Linked DNA regions of Pelodiscus sinensis. The protein of the gene in region 1 purifies or fractionates together with the protein of each later gene. This does not show direct contact. Links are inferred from orthologs where the notes say so. Each region holds a gene or a part of one and is shown on either strand. Other genes may lie near its edges.

Region 1 (6,945 bases):
TGCAGTCTAGGATGTGGTTAAGATTCTAAAGGTAAACTGAGCCTTTTCATTATAAACCTCTAATTTCAGGAATTTGTAATCTAGGATTAAAAAATGTGCCCAAGACTGAATTTTGGCAAGAGAACCCAAAAGACAGGTGGGTTTTCCTCCATCAAATTAGGGTGGGGGGACTTGCCGCTGGTTTTGAGATATAGGAATGTAAACAACCAGATTAATTTTCAGTTTGCTTTTATACTTTAATTTGAAATCTGTTTTATTTTTGCAACTGATACTTTGTACACGTAAACACAGACTAGTGCCTTTGGCTACACTGATGTTAGGAGGATGGAATGTGAAAAGTTACCACTATGCACATGCACTATTATCCATGAGGATTTGTTTGTTTGGTTGGTTTTTTTTCTTTTAATCACACTTACTTCATATGATATTAAAATCTCTGGCCTAGACCATCTCCCACATGTACAGGGAACCCTCACGAGACATTTCTTCTCCCCCATTTTGTTTACACTATGGAAGGCTATCCATAAACCACAGGTGCACTGTATGTGATGAGTAAGTAAGTAGGTCAGAATGAAGAGGAAGCGTGTGGATGGATCAGAGGCCAGACTAGTGGTGGATGAACATGATTTCTTTCCATATCCACTAGTATATTTAGAGGTGGGTCAGCTAAGGCCTGAAGCTCTGGACCACCAAACAGATATAGCTAGGGATCCACTAACTACATCGAAGGTGGGCACTATAGCCTTTTCTATAGGAAGAAAAAACTCACCTTTCCCTAAGAGCAGAGGGATTCTCAAGAAAAAGTCTTCCTAACCTCCTCATCTATAAACCAGTTCATTGGATCAAACCAACATTTTAGTGCAAGCACCTGGATAAAGGCTGGTACAATAATAACTAGCTTTTACCCAGAACTTTTTATCAACAGATCTCAACGTGCTTTTCAAGGCAGTCATTATCATTATTATATAACAGCCAGGGAAGCAGCAGCACAGAAGTTAAGTCACTCATTCTGTGACAAGATACATTTAAAGAAAACTGCCAAAATACTTATACATGCTAGCCTTTCAGAGACTGTAGCTCTGAGCAGTAGCAATCTTTTTGCATTACATGCCTGTTTTTGCCAGAAACAGAGATTCAGGATAAATTATTATCCAGGTTGTTTTACATAAATTGACACCACATTATAAGCTTCACAGGATTTTAATAAAGATTAGTAATGAAGAAAGAAAAAACTACAAGTAGTCTAGTAGCACTTAAAGACTAACAAAACATGTACTGTAGATGGTTTCATGAGTTTTCGTGGGCACAACCGTCTAAAGAAAGAAAAAGTACATTCCTGCTTAACTAGTAGAATATAAGCTCACCAAATCACTATTTAATTTCTCTATACCCTAATCTAATTAACACACTTGTTCAATATATAGGGCTACCACTATTTTTATCTATTACACATTGTTTCTCACCACTGCTGTTCAATGGTGGGCACAGCAATGAAACTGACACGAATTGCATCAGGAGCTGCTGGAGGTCCTGGCCTGGATGCAGCCTGCTCCAGGGGCCTCAAGGCTTCCAAACTCTTGGACCAGCTGAGCTGCCCAGCTCCCCCAGCATAAGTCGTCAGATGGCCAGGCATCCAGCTAGCCAGGGAGCCTAACTCATGCAAGATCTACAATTTATTAGTGCATCCAAGCTCCCTGATGCAGACTCAAAGCTAGGGCCCTCAAAGTTTTCAGGCTCCCATGCCACTGCATGAAGTCTGGAAGTAGTATGTTACTTTTCTACTGTACCTTATAATGAAGAGCAACTGCCACCACTACTGGCCCATTTACTATATTTATGGTGCCTTTAAATTGTAAAGTCTTTGTATTATCAGTGATTTTATCCCTCATTGAGGAATATAACTGCAGTGCCACAGACATAATTTAAATAAGAGCTTCCATTCAAATGAAAAACACATGTTTTTATATGGGTCTTCCAGATTTGATAACAAGCAGATGAACAGGATCCTGTTTAAAGCACCCCAAAACGACAGCATGGTTGAAGCCTCAGCTGCAGGTACTTTCTACATGACTAAGTGACCAAGTCCATAAAATATCGGTGATTATGTGACCAACTATATGGGTATGTGTACAGTGCTTTATGAATTCAGATCTGAGAGACCTGGGGCTTGTGGACTTAGTGGGTATGTCTACACTGCAATTAGACTTCTGTGGTGGCCCCTGCCAGCTGACTGAGGCTCCTGGAGCTCAGGCCAAGGAGCTGTTCTATTGCAGCACGGACATTTGGTCCACTCTAGAGGACTTTAGCGTGACAGCTTGGGCTGTAAGGCCTGGCAAGCTGGGAGGGTCTCAGACTTCAGCCCAAGCAACTACAACACTGAGCGCCTCGTCCAGAGCCAGCCTAGCACAGTTCAGCTCGCACGGGCCAGCCACAGCAGCAGAGACACGCGCAGTGTTTCCAAGCCAGGGCTCAAGCATCCACCGCCCCTCCGCACCGGCCCCACGGGCAGTGCTGGCGCCGAGCCGCTGCCACCGGCGCTGCCCCGCGGCACGGAAGTGGCTGGCGGCAGCTCGGCGGGGCCCAGCGCGGAGACAAGCGGGGCCTCCGCAGTGTGCGGCTGGGGGGCGGGGGCAGCGCTTGGCCTCTGCCGCGCACATCCAGCGCCCGGCGGGGGCAGCGTACCGGGCGGATCCCAACGGCCCGATCCGGATCGTTATTAGCAACGGCGGCAGCGAGACCCCGGGGCAGGAGGCGCGCGGCGGGGGTGCGGCCCGAGGCCAGTGACTAGGAGCCGGCTCGCGCTAACGTGCGTGTGTCCGGGATGGGAGGGGGGGGGAGCACTCACCGGCCGCTGCGCTGTTTGAAACCGGCACTGGGCAGCGTCGCTCCAGGTAGCGCCTCCGCCTCCCGCACAGCCAGGCCGCCGCAATGGAGTCCGGACGCATCGATCGCCCGGGAGGCGGAACCGGAGCAATCGAGCGGCAGCCCCGCCCCTCCCGCTTGGGCCGCGCCTTCCTTCTCCCGGCCCCGCCCCTGAGCTCCTTCCTCGCTGCCTCCAGCCCGGGCCGCCCAGTGCCTGCGCGTTCGGTCCCTTCGCCCTCAGCCGCAGCGCGAGGCCACGGCGGGCTGCTGGGTTTGGCGCCGCGCACGGGGCAGGGAGCCGGTTGAGCTCGTAAAGAAAGGAAAGCACCGAGGAGGTGCGGAGGAAGCCCGCCCGGGGACAGACTTGCCGCTCCTGCCAAGCGCTCCCAGGGCCTGCAACCTGCAAACGAGTCGTTTTCTGCTTCCAGTCGGGCTTCTGCCCTGAGCGAGCCAGGAGGGTGGTTTTTGCTGGTGGTTGGACTTTGTAAACATCTTAGTCCCGTTCTTCAGCCCGTAGGGTGCGGGGCTAATGGAAAGTGTTGTAGAAAGACTTTGGGTAGGTCTAGACTACAGGCTTTTGTCAACAGAGGTTTTTGTGGACAGAGAGGATAGGTCTACACTACAGCTGTCTACACATTGGGGTGATCTAGCGCCAAAGTGGCTGTTTTTGCGCAAAAACTTGCTGCCTGTCTACACTGGCCAGGAGTTCTTGCGCAAGAACACTGACGTTCTAATGTGTGAAATCAGAGCTTCTTGTGCAAGAACTATGATGCTCCCGCTCAGGAATAAGCCCTCTTGCGCAACTGTTCTTGCACAAGAGGCTAGTGTAGACAGGCAGCATGAATTTCTTACGCAAGAAAGCCCGATAGCTAAAATGGCCATCGGAGCTTTCTTGCGCAAGAGAGCGTCTACACTGGCATGGATGCTCTTGCGCAAAAGCCATCTCTCGCACAAAGGCACATGCCAATGTAGACGCTCTCTTGCGCAAATACTTTAATGCAAGAACTCTTGCGTTAAAGAGTATTTGCACAAGATCATGCCAATGTGGATGTAGCCATGTAGATTACCTTTCTAGACATAGGAAAATGAAGTGGCGATTTAAATAATGCCTGGCGGGATGAGGTTTACCGGGGAGGTCGACAAATGCTTTTGATGTCGACCGTGGAGTGTCCAGACTACAGAGCTGTGCCGACAAACAGCTGATTGGCACAGTGCGGCAGCAATTTTAATTTAAATGAAGCGATGATTATTTAAATTGCCGCTTCATTTTCCTATGTCTACATAGGTAATCTACATGGCTCTGTTGACGGAGCCATGTAATGTAGACATACCCATACTGTTGACAAAGCTTCTGTCGACAAAGAGTGTCTTGACTACATCCAGTTCTGTCAACAAAGCAAGCTGCTTTGTCGACATGACGGTGTAGATGCAATAATACCTTCTGTCAACAGAACTCTGTTGACAAAAGACGTTATTCCTCGTAGAACGAGGTTTACAGCCGTTGACAAAACTGCAGAGTTCTGTCGACGTTATGTCGACAGAACTCAGCAGCAGTGGAGACGCAGGTATAGTTTCGTCGACAAAAGTCCACTTTTGTCAACAAAACTCTGTAGTCTAGACACACCCTTTGAGGCCATGGCTACCCTGGCAGATGGAAAATGCTGGCAACTGCAGCGCTGCTTGCAAAGTGCAGCAATGAAACCACAGTTGGGTGGCCACAGTGTTAGCTGCCAGTTCATTAGCCTGGCAACACTCATGGCACTTGCAGCACACTGCATTCTGGGCAGCTATCTCCCAGAGCACCTCTTCCCCTTCAGAGGTGTTGGGAGGCACAGGACACCCTGAGCCCTGTCCCAGCTACGGATGTTAGATATTATTTAATTTAATGATCACATAACCACATCAGTTGCAGGATTATGCAATGGCTCCTGAGGATGGAGGCAGCAGCCAAGTGCGCTCCCAGACCCAGGGAGCCCCTACCACACTGCACTGCTGCCTCTGATACAGCTCCCCTGCCTGCTCTTCATTTACAACTCAGACTGATAGGCTGATTGAGCCAGCCTGCCAGTCCAAGTTTTAAATGCAGAGCATGAGGGGGGGGGGTGTTATTGTGGTTAACTGGGACTGTTAACCAATAAGCAATAGCTTATCGGTTAAACAATTAACCACTAACATCCCTAATCCCAGTGGCCCCTAGTGCAGATGTTCTCAAACTTTGTGATACCGTGACCCCTCTCTAAGTTGCTCACGACCCCCCCCCCAGGGAGGTCAGGACGCACAGTTTGAGAAACACGGCCTTAGTGCATCACTTCACATCTCAACAACCCTGGCACTTCCGTCCGCATTTGGTACCATGTTTCAACAATTTGCTGCATGCTCTGCCTCCTGGGTGTGTGGGAATGTTGATGAAAATGCTGACAGGTCATGCCGATGAACTATTGCTGATGGGCTATTGCAAGCCTCCGTAGGGAAGTGCGATGTCAACATGGGAAAGTTACAATAACTTAATTTAAATCAGTTTTTATACCACTGTCATTAAACTGGTATAAACTTTGCTGTGGACACTCTTAGTTTGGTTTAAGAGTGGCATCATGTGGTTTAGTTTAAACTTTTAATTAATTTTTATCTAAACAAAATATAAGTATCTGTAATCATTTAATTAAATTGGTTTAAAAAAATCACACCAATAGTTAAACCACTGCAACTCTCTCATGTAGACAAGCCCTTAAATTGATTTTAAAACCTGGTTTATATAGTAAATCTGACTGTATAAGTTAAATTAATATGAACCAGATTAAAATGAATTTAAGTGTCCACACAGAGATTTGTACCAGTTTAAGTAAGTAGATTTATGATGTATCTTTAATCAAACCAGTATGTGCAGGCAAGACCTCATAAGAGTCAATGCTGGGCTTCTACTGGGAGCGGTCTCTAGTGAATGAATATTTTCACATCTTAAAAGAAGGACCAAGGTTACTGAATATTTAACAAAACCTTCCTTTTAGCCCAACTGTAACCCACTTAAATTATATAGCTGTTAAAAGAGGAAAAGAACAGCTTTAAACAATCTGGCTAAAAATCCTTCCCCTTTTTAATACTTCAGCTTTCTGTCTCTTAGCTTTTATGAGGTCAACGTTGAATTAGTTGTCCACTCACATTTAGACAGGATCTGAATTTTTACCGTTAAAAGTACAAAGAAAAAAATCTTCAGGCATTTTCCATATATCCTAAAGAAGTGAAAAAGTGCATAGGTTCAGGAGTTTTGTATGGTATAGTGTAGGGGAGCCTAAACAGCCCTGTCTTGACCAAGACAGCGTCTGCTTTACTCAAAGTAAAGATCTCTAACAAAGCAAAACCCAAGCCTGTCTCAAGTCTGGTGCACGTAGCATGCAGGTAAGGCTGGGGCTTTGAAGCAGGAATGTTTTTGCACAATCATGCATTTCCAGCATAGTTCAGTGTGATAATGCCAAGAGAACTGGATTAATCTAGTACTGATACATTTTATTCCTAATAAGAAAAAGCAGATACAGTCATAGAACTGTTAACCAAGCACATACTTTTTGCAACATCTTGAGTAGTAGGATGTACCCCTAATAAAGGCACAATAGGTATCTTACACAATATGTAATCAATTAGTAGATATTATTAGAATGACCAAGTCTTGCTTTGCTATAAAATGGGCTTAGCAAGAAGAATTGATGGGAGGTAGTAAGCAGGATTGACCCACAAGTCCTTCTTATTGTAACTAAAAGTAAAAGACCATTCACACTAGCTGTGGCAGTGCACAGCGTCCCTAAGTGTGGCAGTAAAAGGGACAATGAACCTCCTGCAGGTGGCATGTGAATGAAGTGTAAGTGAACAAGGCTTAATTATTGCATTATAATAAATCTCCTATTAATTGCTTTTGTATTGTTTTGTATTGTATTAATTGCTTTACAAATTTGTAGTATTTAAGGCTTAAATTGTATAGTAATTGTTTTTTGAGGCTTGTAAAACAAAGGACTATATTAACAGCTTGAAGACTTGCAATAAATGAGGAAGTGGTTAAGTCTCTTTGGAGTGTCCTAGTTTCCCTTGAATCTA
Region 2 (7,557 bases), about 29 Mb from region 1:
CCCTGGCTTCTGGAAGCATAAGCCCGGAAAATAGCCATTTTAAAAAGAGATTCTAGGTAGCTTTCCCTCCTAAATCTCTCCCCCCCCCCCCCCCCCCCCAGCTAGAATCTTAGGACTGGAAGGGACTTCAAGAGATTGTCTAGTCCACCCCTCTGTACTCATATACATCGTATTATTGATGTGATGCAAGAGAAAATGGTCCAAGTATATTGAGTTTTACCCAAGCTAGTGCATGGCACACAGTAATTCTTTGGGGGACCCAAACTGAGAACAGTATTTAAGAAAATGTACATTTTTACACTGCCCATGCACAAAAGTACAGAAAAATAGCTAAAGAGTTTCCATCCCTGACATTTTATGCACTTTAAACTCAACTCTTTAAGTGCTCTAAAATCCAAACAGATACTCAAATTTGCTTTTAAATTTGATATCCTTAATGGAAGCACAAGGCCATCAAATTTGGGGTCATCTGACCAAGGGGTTCTAATTTAGGACATCCCCCAAAAACATTTCTCTTCTTCTGCCTTGTACTGTTAAACTGAGATTAATGACTGGATGAATCACAGACCTCTTCATGACTGTGAACTCACCCTTCAATTAACATAAGTAAGGATAAGTTCTCCATAAACCCTCACCTAAAACATAAGGATTATTGAACTTAGTGGCTGGAGGTTGCTTTAGTTTGTGAGTCCTTGTGTGGTGTGATTTCATTTTGGGGAAAACACAAGAGCTTGGCTACGTCTACACTGGCAGCTTCTTGCACAAGAACTCTTTTGCAGAAGAGTTCTTGTGCAAAAACTCTTCCACAAGAGAGCGTCTACCCTGGCATGTGCTTTTGTGCAAGAGATGTGCAAAGAGATGCGCAAGAGATCCAGGGAACTGACAAGTATAAAAATGGGGTGCTCTTGCCATGGAACTTTGGGTTCTGTCCTGCCTTGGCACTTCGGATCATGACCAACAGAACCCAGCTCCTCACTCATGTTCAATCTAACTGGCCACTAGATTGATTTGAGTTACCACAGACTAGTAACTAGTATCATCTGCTAGACCTGTGTGTGTGGATGCATATGCTACTTTTCCTGTTGTATTGTCAATATATGTGGCATATTGTCTTCCCCCTGAAAAAGATCCTGTGTGCTTCTAATAAGCACAACACAGTATTTGTGAAGGAGCTTGGATGCAGTAGGAGGTTTTTACCTGGGGCAAGATGTTGGGAGTGTGGAAGGGAGTAGGGTATCAGATACAGGCTCTGGCCAGGAATCGAAAGTGTTTACTGGAGACAGAGCCAGGCGGCAGCCCATCAGGATGCTTGGATAGGCTCCCTTCCTTCTGCGGTCCCACACACTATTCAAAGTGGCTGGCTGCTGGGGTCAGTGTGTGTCTCTGGGCAGTGCGCCCCTTGGGAGAAGGGGCTAGCAGGTCTCCATGTGCTGCATGTACCTGCAAGCACTGAGCCTGCAGCTTTCATTGGCTGATTTCTGGCTAATGGGCGCTACGAGGATTGTGCTGGAGGTGGGGGCAGCACACAGAATCCTCTCCGCAAGCAGCATGCACCACACAGAGATACACATGCTTGCCCCAGCAACCGGATGCTTTGAGCAGTGTATGGGACCACAGAAGACAGGGTAGCATCAGGCTGCATTCAAATATTTGGCAGGCTGGATCTGTACAGGCTGTATTTTGCCCATCCCTGCTCTAGCCTTAGGTCTACAATGGCAAAGACATTTTTCCTGTAATGGTAGCTCTGGGCTGGGTGGAGCCAGCCATCAAAAGCAGGGAATGTCCAGTGCTTCTCCTTGTTTTCTCAATGACTCATCTGCTGCAGAGGTAGATTTAAATGAAACATACCGTACCCTGGCATGCCCCCTCCCAATGACACAGAGCCCCCCTGGGCTGGGCAGTCCAGTACCGGATCCAACACCCCCCCACACAGGGGGTGGCCACTCTGCAGGGAAGTGGGGGCCAGTCCCTCTGCAGAAAGGGCTGGGTGGGGGGGAGAGCAAGAGAGCAGGGAGGCCCACCTGCAGACTGCAGCCTCAGGTGAGCTGTCAGAAGGTAGTGAGCAGTGCAAACATGATCTGGAAGGCTTCAGAAGAGCCACACAGCCGGCCAGAGAAAAGCGGTGCTTTGAAGCGGGAAAGCGCTGCTTCTCTTTGGCCGCCAGCTGTGCATCTACCCAGTGATCTCTAACGCCTTCCAGCCTGTGTTTGTGCTGCTGGATGCCACCTGGTGAGTGGTGGCTGCCCGCAGGCAAGGGGGAGAGTGGCCAGGGGATAGAGAGCCCAGGACGGGGAGAGGGGCAGCACTCAGATGACTGATAGCACTATGCCTCCCTCACCTTTAGGTAAAGCACATGTGGGTCTCTGCCCACTTCTTCAGGCCAGCCAATGCAGGGCCACTGGGGCACCTGAAGGTGTCCTCTGCAGCCACAGAGATTTTTTTTTTTTAAATAAAGCACTCTTATCCAAAGCACTTTGCAGTAATTAGCGAATGGTACAAACAATATTTGGAAAGATCATTAAGTGGTCCACCCGAGACCTTCAGCAAATTTCAAATGGTCTGTGGAAAAAAAAGTTAGACTACAAAAACAATCAAGGCGCCTCACTTTATTTTCATTTACTTCTTATTACTTATAATATAGAAGGAGGGGGGCAAAAAGGAAGCTGAGCACTGGGCCTCACTAACTCTAAATCTGCCACTGATCAGCTGGCAAGTAGGGAATGAGGAGGAGGGAGCTGCCTGATTCAAAGAAGGGACAAAAGTTGAACTAGAGGGAGGGAAAGGAGTAGACTAGTAGACTAGGCTAAGGAGTCTGGTGGAACTGGGTCTGGTGTGGAAGGGGGCAGAAACCGTCTGCAGTGTTGCCAACACTCATTATTTTGTCATGAGTCTCATAATAATTATTGTTTGCCTTAAAGCCCCAGCTCGTACAGTCAAACAAAGATGCGATGTTTTCAGCCTTTATTCTCAAAGGAAAAATGAGTGTCTAGCCCTTATGGTTGTGGAGAAATTTTCAAAGTATGATCCCCATGCACCCTAAAGGCTCAAAAAGCAAATGAAAACCCATTTTTACATAATCTCATGATTTCTGAACATTTCCAGTTTTCTGGAGTTCAGCAGAAAAGGACCTGGGGATTACGGTGGGTGAGAAGCTGGATATGAGTCAACAGTGTGCCCTGGTAGGCCAGAAGGCTAATGGCATATTAGGGTGCATTAGGAGGAGCATTTCCAGCAGATCTAGAGAAGTTATCATTCCCCTTTATTCAGCACTGGTAGGGCCACACCTGGGCTACGTCTAGACTGGCATGATATTCCGCAAATGCTTTTAACGGAAAAGTTTTCCATTAAAAGCATTTGCGGAAAAGAGTGTCTAGATTGGCACGGACGCTTTTCCGCAAAAGCACTTTTTGTGGAAACAAAATACAGGACTATGTAGCACTTTAAAGACTAACAAGATGGTTTATTAGATGATGAGCTTTCGTGGGCCAGACCCACTTCCTCAGATCAAATAGTGGAAGAAAATAGTCACAGCCATATATATACCAAAGGATACAATTAAAAAAAAATGAACACATATGAAAAGGACAAATCACATTTCAGAGCAGAAAGATTCTGTACCAATCTAGACGCGCTTTTGCGCAAAAAAACCCCGATCGCCATTTTCACGATCGGGGCTTTTTTGTGCAAAACAAATCTGAGCTGTCTACACTGGCCCTTTTGCGCAAAGGCTTTGCACAAAAGGGACTTTTGCCTGAACAGGAGCAGCATAGCATTTCCGCAAGAAGCACTGATTTCAGACAGTAGGAAGTCAGTGTTCTTGTGGAAATTCAAGCGGCCAGTGTAGACAGCTAGCAAGTTTTTCCGCAAAAGCAGCTGCTTTTGTGGAAAAACTTGCCAGTCTAGACACAGCCCTGGAGTATGGCATCCAGTTTTGGGCCCCCCACTATAGAAAGCATTGGAGAAGGTCCAGCGGAGGGTAACCAAAATGATTAAGGGGCTGGAGCACATAACCTATGAGGAAAGGCTCAACCATTTGGGCTTATTTAGTCTGCAGAGTGAGGGGGGATTTGGTAGCAGCCCTCAACTTCCTGAAGGGGGGTTCCAAAGAGGATGGAGAGAGGCTGTTCCTAGAAGTGAGGGATGGCAGAACAAGGAGCAATGGTCTCAGATTACAGTGGGGGAGGTCTAGGTTGGCTATTAGGAAAAACTATTTCACTGGGAGGGTGGTGAAGCACTGGAATGGGTTCCCTAGTGGAGTCTCCATCCCTAAAGATTTTTAAGTCCTGGCAAACGTGTCTTGCCCGGGAGCTGCGCGCACAGAGGCTGACAGCCCAGGGAAAAGCAGCTCCCAAGGACACGCTTTCGAATCCCGCCCCGCCACCAGGGGGTAGGGAAGGGCGAACGCCACGCCACGCCCCTCGCTCGGACACAGCATTGAAGACTATCAGCGCAGGCGCAATGGGGAATTGGGAAGGAAAGGACTGGCAGAGGATAATACGCATGCGCAGTATGAGAAGCGGGGAGGGAGGGAGAGCGAATTGGTTTCGCGCTTGCGCAGTGAGCCTGAGGTGCCGGGCGGTCGCTCTGCGATTCCGGCGTCCAGGGCGGCGCCTGCGCATTGCGCGCCTGTCAGTGACTTCCTGGGAGCTGGCAGCGCAGGTACGAAGTGGCGGCCTTCGAGGCCGGTGTCGCTCCGCCTGGTCCCCGCGGGGCGCCGGCTGCGGGCAGGACCGGGCTCTGGGAGCGCGGGGCCGAGCACTGCGGGAAGCCCTGGCCGAGGAGAGGTTGGGGCGGGGGCAGGTTGGCAGGGGCAGGTGGGATGGGGGGGGGTTGGTTTCTGCCCCCTTGCCACGACGCTCTGGCAGCTACTGCGCGGAGCAGCCGTTCCCGTCCCTGCGAGCGTGACCGTAACCCTGGGGGGGGGGGGGGCTGTGCCGGTCCTAGCTCATCTCGGGGCCTCTTTGTGCTGCTGGGGTGCGGGCACAGGGCGAGGGGCCAGATGGGCTGGGCCTGGGTGGGATCCTGTCGAGTTACCTTCCGGGGTCCTTGCGTTATTACTGATGGGGCGGGGGGACCGGAGGGTCTGGTGTCAATTTGAGGATTCGCGGAGGCCAGTGCAGAAGAGAAGCCAGAGAACCTTTGAAGGACTCCCCATTGCTCACGGCCTACAGAATCGAAATATCAAACCTGTTCAATGTGGGGCGCTGTTTTAAATTTTGCCCTTTTACTTACTTCCCTGATGTGGCAGCTGTCCAGAAGCACCTGTGCATTAGGTAGGAGCCTCTTTTGAAGCACAGAAGGGAAGGGTGACCCTACCCAGTCTTTTTACTTTTCTTTCTTCTCTTTTTTTCTTAACTCTCATTACAGAATCCCAATGCTCCTTCATATTTTCCAGTTTTGTGATCTCCAACGCCTCTTTTCTCTGCCCCTTGAAAAATGTCAGCCTCATAATTCAGTTTGGACAAACTTGTTTTAAACAAGTATTTACAACTTATTAATTTAGATAGCTGTATTAGCTCCATTTTGAGCACTACACCGGTAAAATTTTTAAACAGAATATCAAGAAATCTGTGTTATGTTTCCCACAGTCCCTGAGGCCCTCAGTCCCTATCAAGCCTCTCTCTGGTAGTAGGTGCTGAGCAAACATATAGGAAGAAGTAATGCTTCCCTAATATGTTTATGGTATAAAAATTCAGAAAACAGAAAGGTAGTGTGATACTGTATCCAAGCAACATAATATTGATTGTATCTTTTTTAGTTCTATGTTTTATTTTAAATATAAATACTTTTAAACGGCTTGTCCCGTTTAGCAGGGAAAAAAACAGGTATTCTGGCAGCTGCATCAGTCTTTTATTCAAGAGGCTTGACTCTGGAGCTGGAGGTGCTCCATGTGGTTTTAAAGGGGCTTGCTGAGATGTCGTTTTGGACAGAAAGATGTCAGTGGCTGGAAATTCCCTACTGTTGTTCAAGTCCAATCAGAGAGAGAATTTCAGTGTTAATTTTCATAGTCCAAGCTCTCACCTCACTAGGGTGCAGAGGATGATGGAGTAGTTGTGCCAGTGTCTGCTTCCAAGATTTCTCATGATTTCCAAACAACAGCTAAGTGAAATTGACATGGTTTTTGTTAGTTTGCTGCACCTATAGTATTATGTAGTATCAGTCTTGTTAATTTCACTCTGTAGATGATTGGGAAAATCATGAAGAGCAACAAAGGCACCAGAGCTTGTTTGTCTACAAACTCAGAAAGATAACACATCATGGGTTAATGCTTTCATATTGAGAAGATTACCCTGACAGCTGTAAATCTGAAAACCTTATTTTTTAACTTAACGTTTAAGCTCCTTAGAAAATTAATAGCTTAGGCCTTCTTCCTTAGCACATAATAGGCCTTATTTGCAACTAATAAAAGAATTTTTCAAATGCTGTCAAATTATATAATTTGTTTATAAAGCCAGCACATCGATCGTATATACTTGATTGTTGTCTGTCCCAAGAGGAAATTGTCAACAATCAATGAAAACATCCTATACTAAATCCATGCTTAACATTAAGGTTGTAGGGACTGATGATCAGATTGAGATGAGTCTGGAAAGCCCCATTTATTAATATAATCTGTTTAACATAGGGGTTTAGAGACAGAGTGGTAGTTGACAAGACTGTTAAAGTCAAGAAATGCTTCCTTGAAGAGGAGTCTCACCAGTGCCTTTTCAAAGGGTTGGTGTACCCTCCTTTCACAATGGAAAGTGTTAATGATCCTCACAGAAGATAGCTCCAAACCTCCCACATTGGTCTATACAGCCACCATTGCCAAAGATCCAGCTTTATGAATTTGCCACTGAAATAATTTGCTTTTATTAATAATGCAGAAACAAATTCGATGGTGTATTGTCATGCAATTTATACATTAGGTGTTGGTCTTTGGATGATTTGAGAATTTATTAGGCATTATAGGGAATCACTAAACTGCATCTGAGAGCGAATTTCTCAGGCCAGGTCCAGAGACTTATGATAATAGGGGTGGTGCTGTAGTGCTAAAAATAGCTGTGTAGCCATTTCTTTGATGTTGCAGCTCCAGCTGGAACTGGGCTGGGAGATTCACTCTCAGATGCAATGCAGACGTTTTTAGTGACGGTATGAGAGTATATACTTGTCTGGTTTTATTTTTCTGTGTTTAAATAAACACCTTCAAAAATGTTAAACTTGACATATATCCTTCAAATCAGTACTACATATCTGCTTAAAATGTTCTGAAATAACAAAATGCTTAAAGGGTTGGAGAAGTATATTGAGCAAATGTGGTTTCCTCCCTTTAATATCAGAAGGATATACTGAGGTTTTTCCTGGAATAGATATGTCTTAGAATATGGGGAGGGGAAGTGGATAAGAAACAAGAGGATCTAAGATACTAATAATAATACAGAGAAAAACTGATAGGATGGAGTTAAGACTGCTAGGTAGTACTTAATCCTCCCATGAGTGCAGGGGACTAGACTAGATGACATCTTGAGGTCCCTTCCATCCTATGATTCTACATCAGTAATTTAGGGTAAAATACAA
Region 3 (6,968 bases), on another chromosome or scaffold:
CAGCAGGGCTGCTTCCGGGTACCAGTTATCTATTACCTGGTGAGCATCAACCAGTAAGCAGTTATCTGTTCACATCCCTAAAGTGCCTATAGTCAGGATACCCCTTCCATGCACAGGAGTGGAGTGTTGAGTGTCCCTGGATTGGCAAATTCCCCTACCCAGAGATTGTTAGCTGCAGCTCATTGTATTGTGCAGAGAGTTCATGGTTTCAGGATGAGGCTGGATATGAACTAGGAATGGGTTGTTCTGGCACCTCATAGCCATAATGCCTAGAGGGCATTCAAACATGGCCATTACTGCTGGCTGTGGCTGGCAGTCTTTCTCTTCCAAGGCATAATTATGGATGAAGGACTTAACTAGCATTCACTGCTCCCATTTTCTCAGGTGATTTTTGCTTCTCTCCACAGCAGTCGAAGTCCAGCTCTGTATTTCTGAGAGACTTTTGGAGTTACATAGACTTTATATAAAAATGGCTTTACACTAGCCATATCTGGGACACTAGTAGCTTTAAAAGTTTGGGCTGCCCCTTTAAATGCTCAAATGTGTGCCTGAGTGACAGAAAGCACACTGCTATATATGCACTCCATAACTGCTTGTGCCTACACCTAAGCCTGCACTTGCAGGCATTTGTACATTTGTATGAGTGCCTGCTTTGCACATATGCAGCCAGTGGCGCTGGAACTACGTGTGCTGGGGGTGCTGCTGCACATCCTCACTTGAATTAGTAATAACTCCCACCAAATACATGGTTTCCATGGTTTCCATCATCAGCACTTCCACTTGCCTACAGGAGGGTGCTTTACAACAAAGCTCAGTTAAAATGTTTAATGTTTCCCCCAAGTCTTGACCTCCAGCTTGATGGCACTTGCACACTGTGGGGTGGGGAACAGTGCATTCTGGGGGATGGGTGCAGGTATGGCAATTGTCACAACAAACAGGGAATATCAAGCATCACTGCTTGATGCCAAGGGATGGGGAGAGATGCTGGGGCAAATGGAAATGCTGGTTCCATTAGATCAGTGGTCACCAACCAGTAGATTGGGATCTGTGGGTAGATCCTAGAGCCTCTGCCAGGTGATCCTGACTTGTTTGGCAGGGAGGCTATGAAATGCCAGCATTTCAGCTGTCCCTACCCCCACTTCCCACTGCTGTCCTTCTCCCACCCTCTGCCTTGGAGCTGCCCCCTGAGAGCCTCCTGCACAGCAAGCAGGATGGGGGAGGCAGAGAAAGGGGAGCTGGTGTTAGGGTGTCCCTCCCTGCTCACCTTATACCTCATCTCCATAGAGTGAGGAGGGCGGACCCTTGGATAAGGCGTGGGGCAAGGCAGGGCCTGGGAAAAGAAGTGGGGAAGGAGATGTGGGCAAGAGTATTTGGGTTTGAGGTAGATTCTGGACGGACAAATTCAAAAAGGAATCTTATGCAGTCTTCAGTAACTTTTTAAAGCACTAGACCTGCCCTGCGTATATTGGGGAGGAAGGATGATACTTAGGGGCAGAGTTAATGGTAATTTCCAGGACTAGCAGAGACCACAGAGACAGCAATATCTGAATCCCATTCTCTGACTGTCAGGGTGGGATTAAGAAAGATGCAGGCTGTGGAGTAAGGGGTGGAAATGTCAATTCCTTTCCCAGAAGGGAAGCTACAACCAGTATTTGCCTGCCCTCCATCTCACAATGAGGCCTAGTACAGATTAGTCCTCTACAGCATTGGTTCCCGAACGGGGGGTGGGGGGCGGGTGCAAAGAAATTCTAAGGGGGTGCGTGAGGCTGAGAAATCTATGAATTGATTTTTTTATTAAAAGGGGAGTTGGAGGATGGTAAAGAAAAGGTGGGGAGGCATGAGGATTTCTCAAAAATTAAAAAGGGGGCGTGATTCCCGAAAAGTTTGGGAACTGCTGCTGTACAGGTACTGATGGGTCTTCTATGCCATTCTCTCCTCCTACCTTCCCCCCGCCATTAGAGTTAATTGAGTCCTCACTTAGGTGAGATAATATTGGTTCCTCCCTGGCCCATTCCTCCCTAATCTGTTTCCTATCACCTCTCCAGAGACTTGATCTATAAGTAGGCCCTTTAATTTCAGGTACTTAACACAGCCCAGATAGATATCTAACAAGCAAAAAATGGATTTGTACATTATGTGATAAGAATGTTACATATCCAGTGAATCCATTAATCAACAGTAGGTGCGCTTATCCTTCAAGAATAGACAATAACATAGATGTGAGTATAAGATGGATGCAGAGACCTTTATAAAAATTAACCACATTGATTTCTGGACACAGTCCTAAGTGGCTGGATCTAATGGAAGTTGGAGTCCTGTTGTTTCATTTATTATGTCTTGTGACCTTGAATCAGAAATGTACTGTAAGTAGGCAAAACCAGAACAGGTAGTTGTGACTAAGGGCACTAACTAATCATTTTAATAACTATTGTTAAGTATTAAATTAACTTCTAATGTCCTCAAATTATTTTAAAAAGTAAAACCTAATCTCCCTTCCTATTGTTCAAGATTAGAACTCTTAGTCAAGACAGCCTTTCATCTGGATTTGTGTGACATCCAGTGGCTGGATGGGTCAATCACAAGTGCATATTTACAATTAATGATCCAAAAGATGACTCCCAAACATTAGGTCAGGTGTGGAGAACTTTTTTTAGAAGCCACTGACCCACAATAAAATTAGTTGGGGGCTGCACACAAGTGACAAACAAACAAACAAACAAACAAACAAAAACCTAAACTCTTACTGATGTGGCTCCCGACTGAGGGGCGCAGGCTAATAGATTCTGTGTGCTGGAGGAAGAACATCGAGTCCCAGGGACTGGATCCAGGCAATCCAGAGCTGAATTCAGCACCCAGGCCTTAGGTTTCCCACTTTTGCACTAGGTGTTACACAACAGTGAACACCTCGAATGTTTCTTACAGAGCAGTTAATTTTTATTTAAAAAAATAAAGGCAATAGATAGAGAAGAAGCTTGTGCAAGACACTGCTGTTTTTAGACAACTAGGCTTTTTATAAAGTGTCATTAACTGCAGCAAAGCACAGGATTTGGATCAAAATCAAGTTTTTATTTAAGTCTCTGAGTGAGATACCAAAATTGGTAAGCTATAAAAAGACTGCCCTTTCCATGCAACACTGCCTGTTGGCATTAGGTTTGATTCTTGATGAATTTAGCACTTCATTCTCAAGTCTGACAAAAATGGATGAGATTGAGATTCATTTGAGGAAGTTGTACCAAATATTTTTCCATATTGTAGATTAATGGTCAGACTATGACTTTAAGTAAGTGGTGCTCTGAGTCTGGAGTCTCAATGCAGGATTGAGGCCTACATAATGTATTAGTGTGAATTTAATTTATAGAACCAAGGGACACCATGAACTTAAAAGCCACATTTCTATTTGAACAGTTTATCTAACACTGTAAAAATGACACCTAAAATTGCTGGAGCTGAAAGAGAAAAAAAAGCATAAACATTTCTCTGCTTTTTAGTGGACTTTGTGCTTTTCACAGCCCTTTTCCCTAAGGAGTTTCTGTTTGTGTGGGTCTCATGCAAAGCAACAGGGACAAGACAAACATTTGGCAAATAGGAAAATAGTTTTCAAACTGACAATAATTGACAAGATGAACTCAAAGGTAGGTGTCCTGTATGAATTCACGTGTAAATTATAATTTGAAGATAATTAACTTACAAGATGAAAGGGGACACCAAAAATCTGAAATACTTTTCACCAGTGAACTGTTTTAAATATGTTTATAAAGTGTTATATACTTTTCACAAAATCTCCCTTCTGTTTTCAAGAAAAGACATTAATTAAGTGGGAACAGAGTAATAGGCACATGTTACCAGAAGATAGGAAAACAGCAGCTGTGCAGCATGCTTGGACACAAAGTCCTCAGGAATCACAAGGTCAGCCCAGGGTCTAGTTTTTCACTGCTCTTTTGCTGACTATGGAATCATTGTGGTAGTGATCGTAAGCAGAATAAAAGTCCTGCACTAAAGTTAGAACTGTTTCATGCTCTGCAATGGCTAGAAAAAGCAAATTAAACTTGTTGGAGCTTTATTCAGAAGAAAACAAAGATCAAATATATGAAAATGTCTTGGCTGAGATTGAGTCGTTTGAGCTGCCTCTTGGAACCAGTTTGAGGTAGGCATGGTTTATATAATATTTTATTGTACAAACTGTTTTTGTTGTATTTGTTGGCTGTTGTTTTCCCCACCCTCGGGTACTGGAGACCTAATTCTGCACACACTGAAAGCCATAGGAAAACGTCCTTTGAATTCAATGGGAGTAGGATTTGACCTTAAAGGAACAAGCATAGACTCTACTCAGCCCCTTCTCACCAGAACAAAGAGTGACTTTACAGACTTACCCAGGGGTGGGCAATAAGTTTTGCCCACTGGCCGCTTCAAAAAAATTTTAAGTGGTCACGGGCCGGCACGGGGCCTAATTCGGAAGGGGCGGGGCCAGAATGCTTCTGGGCTTCCCCACCCCCAGACCATAACTGGTTTGGGGGTGGTAGAGCCCATTTGCCCCTCCTTCCCACTAGGCACCCATGCCCCTGGCAGGGTGGGAAGAGGCTTCACACACTTCCCTGCCTCCAGGGCCTGCAAGAAACCATCCTGCGAGCAGCGCATGCCAGTTTGAAGTGTTGCACACTCTTCGCAGGGCCAGGGCAGGTCGAAGGAAGCTTCAGGCAGCTCTCCCACCCCTACGCCCTGATTGGCCTGGGGGCGGGGAGAATGCACGAAGCCTCCTCTTCCCACCCTACCCCCTGCAAGGAACACGCGGCATTTCAAAGTGCCACACGCTGCTTGAGGGTGGGAGGAGATGTCATGTGCTCCCTCGCCCCCAAGTCCTGATTGGCCTGGGGGTGGGGGAGCGGCAGGGCTTCTGCGGGCTGGATCCAGCACGCAGAGGCCCTTTTGCCCACCTCTGGACTTACCAAGTGCTCCATGAAGAAATAAATTACTTTTATAAATGAAACCAAGAAACAATGGCTGTTTTTCCTTAATGAAATGATTTAATTAAAATGCTTGAAAAAAATAGATGGGTAACTTTTAATTCGGATATTTTAAGACAGACACTACCCTTGTTTATCATCAAAGTCCCCCCCATGCACTACTAAACTTTATTTAGTGAAATTCCCACATGCCTTTGAAAAATTTAGATATAATGCATTTACAGTTTACTGAATTTTTGTGGACATGAAACTTATATATTAAAGATTGTATGTTTAGCTTTACTGGTGTCTGCAGCAGTGTTAGGATAGCTTGTCTGGTATTGCAGATGTCAGTTTGCAGTAAGGATTATACTAAAGAAAGAAACCATATATCTTTATTTAGAAATTTAATTCTTCCTGAAAATTGAATTTATTACCCTATTCTGTAAATAAAATTGGTGATGGAAAAAAGAACGTGGGAAGAATTTCACTATATTTCAATTATTTCTACAGGGAAATAATATAGCTAAGGTAGCTAAAACCTGTAAACGGTTTCCTCTTGAGTTTACGGTTTCCAGCCTTGTGAGTAGGGGGTGTATTTTTTTTACTACTTCCCTAACTGACATAGCTATGCAGCAAAACTTTCTACTATAGACCAGGGTTAACAGTATATTTCTAACTATTGACTGCACTAGTTTGTTGGACTCAGGAGTAAGTAAGTAGGCCAATTTGCAATATCTCTCTTCTGTATCACTGCCTGATCTGTACTTTGCAGGATTTTCTTTACAGTTAGAGAAACTCTCTGTAGCTGACAATGGATGCCACCAGTAGGTTCAGCTGAACATGATTTAGCTGCAACTGTAGGTGACACCCAAACTGCATTCAGTACTGTTTCATTAACTGTGGCCTAGTGCTTGATGATGGCTTAATTACTGTTTGTGCATTAGCTGTAATCATGTTCAGCACCATTTCACTTTCTGGGCTGTTCAGCTGCACCGGATGCTTTTAACTGTTAGCAAAGGTTAGCTTTTCTAGTCTATGAAACACCATAAATTCACTTTTAAGGATGAAATTTTCTAAAGTTGGCCTCCATTTGTGCACAGATGATTTTGCATTGTAAAAATATCCAGGTCTGGCCCATGAATGTTGGCAGTTTTTGGAACTCAAACCCAAATGTATCATAAAAAGAGAAAACAAGTATAAAAGCTCCTACTTCTCTGCAATAATAAGGAGCCTGATTAATGTTCCCTCTAATTTTTTCCATTCATTTGCAGAATAAATGTTCTTATGTGCACCAAGACATGTACAGATGTGCACCATCAGTAGAAACACATGCTTCTGGCTCTGGGTGCTTTGCTAATCAACTGGGCAGCATTTGAATCTCTCCAGGTGGCCACACATGTGCTTATAGGAAACACTAACCCTGATGTATCTGAGTCCAAAAGCAGTGGAAAACATGTATCTAGTACCCAGAGTCAACGGAATCTTGCATATTTTTATACCCAATCTGCCAAATTCTATAGGTTAAATAGAGAAAAAATTAAGCAGTTCCCATGAAAATAAATAACAATACTGAAAAGAAATCTATACTTAAGAAACTGATCTTGCAGTACCAAAAAACACCATCTTCTAACACCTGCATCTTGTTAGATTCAGTTTGTAATATTTTTATCCCACATACAAAATTTCTACTAGCTAAAGTGAAAAATACTACGAGCTGCTCTAATTCCACTGCAAAATGCATCACTGATCAACGGCACCACAGAGACATATATCCAGTAGCTGGAACTTGCTGGAGCCTACAATTTTGGCTGAAAACCCCCAACCTGTACAGGTATTGTCAATATAGACAGTGCATGTTTTTATTTCTGCTTGAACAGAAAAATTCAAGTACCAATAGATCCCGCTGCAAAAGCAACACAAAACTACAGAGATTATGCCTAGATCTTGTTGGCTCTAAGAAATCTTGGCTGCAGGTCTCTAAAGGTACGTCTGCACTGCATGGCTATTTCGGGATACTGAGGTATC

What was found. The genes of interacting proteins can lie anywhere in the genome.
Region 2: the proteins of EXOC2 (region 1) and EXOC3 purify together in Homo sapiens (affinity purification with mass spectrometry; 6 studies listed by BioGRID and IntAct, counting the BioPlex papers as one, with this or other methods). This does not show direct contact. The link is inferred for Pelodiscus sinensis from reciprocal best matches to the Homo sapiens genes EXOC2 and EXOC3.
Region 3: the proteins of EXOC2 (region 1) and EXOC6 purify together in Homo sapiens (affinity purification with mass spectrometry; 5 studies listed by BioGRID and IntAct, counting the BioPlex papers as one, with this or other methods). This does not show direct contact. The link is inferred for Pelodiscus sinensis from reciprocal best matches to the Homo sapiens genes EXOC2 and EXOC6.

Annotation. Positions count from the first base shown.
Region 1 is NC_134712.1:115,925,940-115,932,884, forward strand, and holds the start of EXOC2 (exocyst complex component 2), read right to left. Parts: upstream 3,003-6,945; 5' UTR 2,846-3,002; intron 1-2,845. UniProt on the Homo sapiens protein: Component of the exocyst complex involved in the docking of exocytic vesicles with fusion sites on the plasma membrane.
Region 2 is NC_134712.1:144,901,231-144,908,787, forward strand, and holds the start of EXOC3 (exocyst complex component 3), read left to right. Parts: upstream 1-4,538; 5' UTR 4,539-4,659; intron 4,660-5,250; exon of another isoform or gene 5,251-5,273; intron 5,274-7,557. UniProt on the Homo sapiens protein: Component of the exocyst complex involved in the docking of exocytic vesicles with fusion sites on the plasma membrane.
Region 3 is NC_134718.1:42,542,634-42,549,601, reverse strand, and holds the start of EXOC6 (exocyst complex component 6), read left to right. Parts: upstream 1-3,949; 5' UTR 3,950-4,022; coding exon 4,023-4,144; intron 4,145-6,968. UniProt on the Homo sapiens protein: Component of the exocyst complex involved in the docking of exocytic vesicles with fusion sites on the plasma membrane.